Macaca fascicularis: one gene and its partner. The protein of the gene in region 1 purifies or fractionates together with the protein of each later gene. This does not show direct contact. Links are inferred from orthologs where the notes say so. Each region holds a gene or a part of one and is shown on either strand. Other genes may lie near its edges. The genes, in order: KBTBD8 and PKN1.

What was found.
Region 2: the proteins of KBTBD8 (region 1) and PKN1 purify together in Homo sapiens (affinity purification with western blotting; 3 studies listed by BioGRID and IntAct, with this or other methods). This does not show direct contact. The link is inferred for Macaca fascicularis from reciprocal best matches to the Homo sapiens genes KBTBD8 and PKN1.

Annotation. Positions count from the first base shown.
Region 1 is NC_088376.1:130,078,407-130,082,217, forward strand, and holds part of KBTBD8 (kelch repeat and BTB domain-containing protein 8), read left to right. Parts: intron 1-3,294; coding exon 3,295-3,758; 3' UTR 3,759-3,811. UniProt on the Homo sapiens protein: Substrate-specific adapter of a BCR (BTB-CUL3-RBX1) E3 ubiquitin ligase complex that acts as a regulator of neural crest specification.
Region 2 is NC_088393.1:14,864,062-14,868,524, reverse strand, and holds the start of PKN1 (serine/threonine-protein kinase N1), read right to left. Parts: upstream 2,805-4,463; 5' UTR 2,703-2,804; coding exon 2,475-2,702; intron 2,324-2,474; exon of another isoform or gene 2,125-2,323; coding exon of another isoform or gene 2,104-2,124; intron 1,910-2,103; exon of another isoform or gene 80-1,909; intron 1-79. UniProt on the Homo sapiens protein: PKC-related serine/threonine-protein kinase involved in various processes such as regulation of the intermediate filaments of the actin cytoskeleton, cell migration, tumor cell invasion and transcription regulation.

The DNA of each region.
Region 1 (3,811 bases):
AACTATTTCAGAGTACTTTGTAGGACTTGAAATAAATAGCAAGGTTGTTACATGGCTGTTTTTGCTCTTGAGTTACATTGAGATGTAGCAACTGGTGTTGATGGAATTTACTGGATTAGTTTGAAAGAGAAAAAGGAACAAAGCATTAATTAAGTTATACTATTTAGTTACCAAAGAGTTTTATATAAGCCTTATTATTGCAAAAGTTATGAAACTTAATTACAAAGAGTTTGGAAGTATAGTCTTTAAGTTTCACCTTCACTGCTGTTTATGTTGCCTTTCATAATACATTTTCAATTGTTTTCACCGGAAAACTTTGAGATGTCACTTTTTTTTGGTTTGCCATTTTAATAGGACTGTCTGATATATGTAGTGTTTTTTGTTTGTTTGTTTTTTTAACTGTTAAGGACTACTTTGACAAAAATACAGTAGAGGTAGAGTGACTGAGTCAGAGTAAATAAGACATTTGATTCAAGGCTCTGATTTGTGATAACTAGTATTTTCCTTTTATTTGGTTTCTTACATATTTTAGTTGCTTGAATGTTTAATGCAGTGTAGATAATAGCAACATCCTTATTCTTCATATGTGTCCTTCAATTGATGTTTTTCTCACACTACTACTTAAGGAAAAGGAGCAGCTTCTATGAAGATATACAGTCATGTGCCATGTAATGTTTTGGTCTGTGATGGATCACATACACAATGGTGGTCCTATAAGATTATGATAGCATAATTTTACTGTACTTGTTCCATGTTTAGATACGTTTAGATACAAAAAACGCTTCCCATTGTGTTATAGTTGCCTAGAGTACTCAGTACAGTCACATGCTGTACAGTTTTGTAGCCTAGGAGCAATAGGCTACAGTGTAGCCTAGGTGTGTGGTAAGCTCCCATCTAGGTTTGTGTAAGTATGCTCTATGAAGTTCTTTGCACAAGGACAAGTATCACTTAACCATGCATTTCTCAGAATATGTCCCTGTCATTAATTGATGCATGACTGCCCTTATCCCATTGTTTTCTTTCTTTCTTCTTTCCCCTTCCCCTTCCCTTCTTTTCTTTCATTTATTTCTTTCTGTTTTGTTTTGAGACAGGGTCTCACTCTGACACCCAGGCTGGTGTGCAGTGGCATGATCTTGGCTGACTGCAACTTCCGCCTCCTGGGTTCACATGATTCTCCCACCTCAGTCTCAGGCACCCGCCACCATGCCTGGCTAATTTTTGAGTTTTTGGTAGAGACGGGGTTTCACTATGTTGACCAGGCTGGTCTTGAACTCCTGACCTCCAGTGATCCACCCACCTTGGCCTCCCACCATTGTTTTCTTTTAAAAATTGTGTTCCTTGCTCTAATCCTTTATTTAACTAAAAACTTCCTAGTAATGTCCGAGCCCATTTGTTTAAGTTCAGTGTCAAGTTAATTCCTCAGAAGGAGTTGTAGTCTCTGGTTCATTATTTTAGTTAAATAGAAGCACCGGGCATGATTTGGGTTTGCTGTCTTGCAGAAAAATGGAATATAGGAATGGATGTATAATCTGTCCAGTATAGTTGGATAGGTTATGTCATCCAGTATGATGAAGCTGTGTATGTGTGTATTTTGGTCTTACTGCCTAACTGTTAGTTGATAGAGGTAGAATTAGATTCCTATTTGGAATGTAAAGGTTGTATATTAATGCAAATACTAAAGCAAACTAGCAATGAATTAATAGAATTTCAGGGCTGGAATTATTAACATCATTTAATTTGAGGTTATATTTTACATAAGAGGATTCTGAAGCCCTAAGGGTTTCTTAATTGCATATTATTAGCTTTAACTTATTAAAGAGTACTTTAGATTTTAAAATTCAACTTCTTTGGTTTGTCGTCTTTACTTTCTTATCTATAAGAAATTTATAGAGAAGTAGCACACATTACAAAGTTTAAATTTCCTACCTTCTTTATCAAGAATCCTGTTACAAGTTAGGCAATAAGGGCAGATGATGTGCAAGCAAATCTGGGAGCTTAACAAGCTATTTTAAGTCAGTTGAAGGCAAAGCATCACTGTTATGAAGTAGGTAGTCGAATCTGTAGATAAGAGTAACCCTAGTTCAAAACAGTTTTCAAGGGGAAGCTCAATTTAGAATCTGGTATTTCTAATCTAAACAAAGCCTCTTTACATAAATAAACCTGACATGCATAGTCAGAAGCTTATGTTGTACTATCTGTGGCTATTGAAGTATCATTTAATCTGTTCATAAAGGGTTCAGATTTTTATTACAAAGATTTTATACAGATGCTATAATTAGCAAAACTCTTGTAAATCTTCACTACTTTAATTCTTTCAGACATTTTCATATTGGCAGTCTGACTCAGCATACCTTTTTATTGTCAAATCAAAATAGAAACTGACTCAGAGTCAACATCACAAACCATGTATGTGTTTTCTATCTTATTAAAGGCATGTTTTCTCCTGCTGAATATTTGTCTTTGCATTATAGCAACATTCAGGTAAGCACATCAGTGACCCATAAGCATAAATCTGTATAATTCCATCTGCTGTCTTCTAATGAAATAGCATATACATTTATCATGGCATATTTATGGTGATGTTGTATGTATGCATTTTGGTCTTACCGGCTGAACACTACTAATAATGCTTTTTTAGAGTTAGAGTGAAATGAGTTTTCTATAAACACACAAATTGGATAGAGCAAATAGAATAATTTTTTTTTTTTTTTTTTTGAGCTGGAGTCTCACATTGTTACCCAGCCTGGAGTGCAGTGGCGTGATCTTGGCTCACTGCATCCTTCACCTCCCAGGTTCAAGCGATTCTCCTGCCTTAGCCTCTTGAGTAGCTGGAATTACAGGTGCCTGCCACCGCACCTGGCTAATTTTTGTATTTTTAATGAAGGTGGGGTTTCATCATGTTGGCCAGGCTGGTCTCTGAACTCCTCACCTCAAGTGATTCACCTGTCTGAGCCTCCCAAAGTGCTGGGATTACAGGCATGAGCCATGGTGCCCAGCCAGAATCAAGCTCTTAACAATTCTATGATCAAACCCAAGTAACTCCTTATACCTTCCCAATACAAACCTCCCAATTCAGGTTGATTATAATATTATCGGTTATATTGTGTCATGGAATGACAAAGTTTTAAGGTATTTCGTAACCCATATGAATGTATCTCCAGAGATTATAAAGAAAATGTTTTAGAAAGTGAAATATATAGAAAATTATGCCCTTTAATCTTTAGAGGTTGTAGTTACAACATATAACCAAAAACCAAACATAAAAATATACATATTCTTGTTTTCTTTTTTTAGGAGAATTTTTCCTCTTCTATGAGCCTCAAAAAGACTACTGGGGTTTCCTGACCCCCATGACTGTGCCTAGAATCCAGGGCTTAGCAGCTGTATACAAGGACTCTATCTACTACATAGCTGGAACCTGTGGAAATCATCAACGTATGTTTACTGTAGAAGCCTATGATATTGAGCTAAATAAATGGACTCGTAAGAAAGACTTTCCATGTGATCAGTCCATAAATCCATACCTTAAACTGGTACTTTTCCAGAACAAACTCCATTTATTTGTTCGAGCTACTCAAGTGACTGTCGAAGAACACGTCTTCAGAACCAGCAGAAAAAATTCCCTTTACCAGTATGATGACATTGCTGACCAGTGGATGAAAGTGTATGAGACCCCAGATCGGCTCTGGGACCTTGGCCGGCATTTTGAATGTGCTGTTGCTAAACTGTATCCTCAGTGTCTTCAGAAAGTACTCTAAATGAGTAGCAGGCCTTAGTGCATCACTGGCATCTCATTCTTAGGAAACTTGTC
Region 2 (4,463 bases), on another chromosome or scaffold:
AAAATAAATAAATATAAACAAGTAAATCAATCAGTAAGGACACAGATTCACACCCTGAGCTGCTGACCAGGACGCTTACCAGTAATGACTTCACAGCAGCCCCGCCTGCCAAGTGCTGGCCAGGTCTCGGTCTCTCTCTCCCATGAACACCCTCTTAGTCCCATTTTTCCTAGGTCAGAACCGAGGCTCAGAGAGGCGAAGGCACTGGGCCCAGGACACACAGCAAGGAAGTGTCAGCGTCGGAATTTAAGCCCAGGCTCACCAAATACCACCCTCACTCAGTCAGGCCCCACCCCATCCCCAGCAGGCAGAGGGAGGACACAGCCAAGAGCGGGGTCAGCTCAACTGGGGAAGTCCAGGCAGAGAGGAAAGGTGGCCTCCCTCGGCCCCACCTCCAGCAGCTGAGGTCTGTAATGCAGAGAGGGAGGGAGGCTGGGCTCCTGGGTTCTCCTCCCCTGAGTGACTCACTTCTTCCCAGGGCATACAGGTCACCTGAGGGCCACCAAGGCAAACCCAGGACTCAGGGGCCTGGCCTGGCCTATGGAGAACCCCTGCTCCTCTGCTGCCCACCATGGAGCGGAGACCTCAGACCCAGAGGACCTGCCTCCCAGAATCCCCATCTTGCCAGAGCAGCCAGGGACCTAGACCCCCACATCCGGAGATTTCAATGCCTTGGGCGTTTCCGGAATCTGGACAGGACATCCGTTTGCAGGACACAGAACAGACAGGCACACGTTGGGACAGATAGAGGGACAGGGCGGCAGGCCCAAGCAACCATGAGAGAGGGATGACCAGGAGGAGGGAAGAGACTAAGGAGGAGATGGGAAGGGGGGACCAGGGCGTGGGTCCAGCCTCACTGCAGGAATCACAGCCTGTCTGGGTCATGTGTGGGACGCGCCAAGCGCATGCATGCGCCCGGGGATTCCTACACAGCCCTCCCTGGGCCGGGGGTGGAGGCAGGGACCCCGGCCCATCCCGGCCCTGAGGTCTGACCTTGTGTGATCGGCAACACCAGATACGCCCAGCTCCTCGGCAAGGCCGGCAGGCCATCAGCAGGACTGGGGAGGTGGGAGGGACCGGGGGTTACGGGGGAGACACAGAGGGGCAGGGGGCAGGTGCAGAAGGAGACGAGAACCCAGTTACACAACAGCCACAGGACGATGAACTGGATGGTGAGGTGCAAATGGGGGCACCGAGGCACAGACATTTCTCAGATTTGGGTCACTTGAACCAAAGAAGGTTGGCAGTCACGCTGGCCCTGCTTGTCACAGACGGGGAAGATGAGTCCAGGTCAGTGATACCAACCAGGTGGCACGGGGGAATCTGGCTGGGCAGAAGGCTGGTGCCAGTCACGTGTGTGTGTTAGGAGGGTGGGGGTGACCCAGCCCTGCCCAGCCACCATGCAAAAAAGTAGGATTCTATATATGGGAGCATCCCTGGCCTGTTGACTGAGGCACTCCCCACCCGGGAGAAGGTTCCACCTGACAGTCCAAGAGTAGGAGCGGGGGTCCCCAGTCCCCCGACCTAATGCAGTGACTCGGGTACTTCCGCCAACAGGTGCCAATCTGGGTGGCGTCTGGAACACTATAAAGCTGTCTAGAGGCGGGGGTGGCTGGAGCTTTGTTATGCGGGGGAAGGGCACGGGCCGGGCCCGGCGGCCTCCTCCCCTCCCACGGCACTGCGCCAGGCACCTGCCCCAGGTGGAGCGGCACCTGCCGGGCACCCAACCCTGGGGAGGGGGATGAGTTTGGGGGCGGACGAGAGGCACCGGGACTCCCAGCCAGCCACAGACACCCGAAGTAGAGCCTCCGCCGCGCCCCTTCTAGTTCTCTGGGAGAGGCCGAGTTTGGGGGTGCAGCGGGGGGTGCCTCCGAGATTGCCCCCAAACCAGCCCCGTCCACATCGCCACCTGCCGAGAAGGGGGCCTCGCTGGCTCCACAGTCCCGGCCCAGGGAGGGGGCGCCGGGCGCTCCGGAGGTCCCCGCCCTAGCCATCGCCACCCGAGTCCCGTTCGGGGGGCTGGGGGGCTCCCCCGGGAGCGCGAGGGCGGGGTCCCCTGGAGCCGTCCGGTCGCCCCGGGACTCCAGACGCAGGTGCGCCTACCTGCAAGGCGTCGCTGGCCATGTCCTCCTGCCGCCCGCCAGGGGTCCCCGCGCGGAGGGAGGGGCGGCCAGAGGAGCGCGCGTGCGCCCCGGGCGTGGCGGGGAGGGGGCGGGCGCGGCGCGACCCTCCCCGGCCCGCGGCCCGCTCCGGCCTGCTAGGCTCCCGCCTCGCCTGCCCAGGCCGCCGCGTCCCCGCGCCGCGCCCTCCAGCCCCAGCGGCCGCCGGGCCCGGTCACGTGACCCCGGAGGTCGGCGCCCGGGGAGGGGGCGGGGCCGAGGGGGAGGGGCTCCCAGAGGCCCCCGGGGCTGCGGGGTCCCGCCCGCCCGCCCCCTCAGTCTCCCGAGCTCGGAGCACCCCGATCGGCTCCCCACCTTTCCTCTTTCCGGGTCCTGCGACGACCGCACGCTGCCGAGAGGTCCCCCATTGGAGCGCGCGGGAACCCGAGGAGAACGGTTCCCCGCGTTCAAGCCGAGAGCGGCGGAGGCCTTTGGGCCTCCCAGAACCCCTGAAAAAAAAAAAATAACCCCCCCACCCCACCCCATCCCTGTGCATTTGCAAGCTCGGGACGCCTGCATCTGTGGTCCCCTATTCAAGGGCATGGAAGTTTCCCCGTTACCTGGAGACAAGCTCTGGGCAGATCTGCATTCAAATGCCAGCGCTTTACGCCTTGGGGAAGCCAAATCCTTCCAGGCACCTCATCTGTGAAATGGGAATGATGCGCTCACCTCCTAGGTGTTGGTAAAATTCAATGAGACAGTGCAGGCCAAGAGCTGAGAACACTCTAGACGCTCCATAAGTGTTAGCTGCTGTCACTTTTAATGTTATCGTAATTGTTTGTTGTTTTGCTGTTTTTGGACGGAGTTTCGCTCTATTGCCCATCCTGGAGTGCAGTGGTGCGATCTCGGCTCACTGCAACCTCTGCCCCCCGGGTTCAAGCGATTCTTCTGCCTCAGCCTCCTGAGTAGCTAGGATTACAGATGCCCGCCATCATGCCCGGCTAATTTTTATATTTTTAGTAGAGATGAGGTTTCATCATGTTGGCCAGGCTGGTCTCAAACTCCTGATCAGGTGATCCGCCCGCCTCGGTCTCCTAAAGTGCTGGGATTACACAGGCTTGAGCCACTGCGCCTGACCTCTATTATCGTTATTGTTATTAAAAGAGGTTTGAATCCCAACTCGCTGTTCATCCTGGGAACCCCTGTGGCCTCTGAGTCTCAGTTTTCCACACAATAAAATGGGCACCGCCTTCTTTTTCGGGGCTGCTGCATGCAGATGGCGCTCCATAAATGCAGACTCGTGCCCATGCGGAGAGTGGAGGCCTCTGAGGAATTTCTAGGGGATCTCCGGGGTCTGCAGAGCGTGCAGCTTTGTTTACGGCTGCCGTCGGACCCTCACTCCTTCGGAAACCAGGCGAGGGAGCCAAACCTTGGTCTCCGGGGCTCCGGCGGGGAGCGCTCCCTGGCGGCGGTGTCTGCACATTGGCGCCCTTTGGGACCCGAGGAAGCGCCGTGGGCTGTGGGTACCTTAGCTACGCGTGGCTCTGCGTGGTTTCAGTCGTCCCGGAAACCAGGGCGCGATGTTTTCTCTCTTATTTTTTCATCTGAGCAACTCTTTGGGGGATATTAACAACAGAAAGAGAGAAGGAGGAGAATATTCTGATCTAGAATCCATCCAGCCAGGCATGGTAGCGCATGCCTGTAGTCCCAGCTACCAGGAGGCTGAGGCAGGAGGATCGCTTGAGCTCAAGAGGCCGAGAATGCATCACTGTGGGGAGCAATCATGATGCCCCTGCACTCCAGCCTGGGTGACAGAGCGAGACCTTGTCTAAAAAAAAGAAAGAAAAAAAAATGTCTGGGTGCAGTGGCTCACCCCTATAATCCCAGCCCTTTAGGAGGCCAAGGTGGTGGTGGGTGGATCACTGGAGGTCAGGAGTTCGAGACCAGCCTGGCCAATATGGTGAAACCCGTCTCTACTAAAAAATATAAAATTAGCTGAGTGTGGTGGCGTGTGCCTGTAATCCCAGCTACTTGGGAGGCTGAGGCAGGAGAATGGCATGAACCCAGTAGGCGGAGGTTGCAGTTAGACAAGATTGCACCACTGCATTACCCCCTGGGTGACAGAGCAAGACTTTGTCAGAAAGGCAGGAAGGAAAGAAGGGAGGGAGGGAGGGAGGGGAAGGGAAGAAAAGAAAAGAGAAAAGAAAAGAACTCTGTGGGCTGGGCGCGGTGGCTCACGCCTGTAATCCCAGCACTTTGGGAGGCCCAGATGGGCGGATCATGAGGTCAGGAGGTCAGGACTATCCTGGCTAACATGGTGAAACCCCATCTCTACTAAAAATACAAAAAACTAGCCGGGTGTGG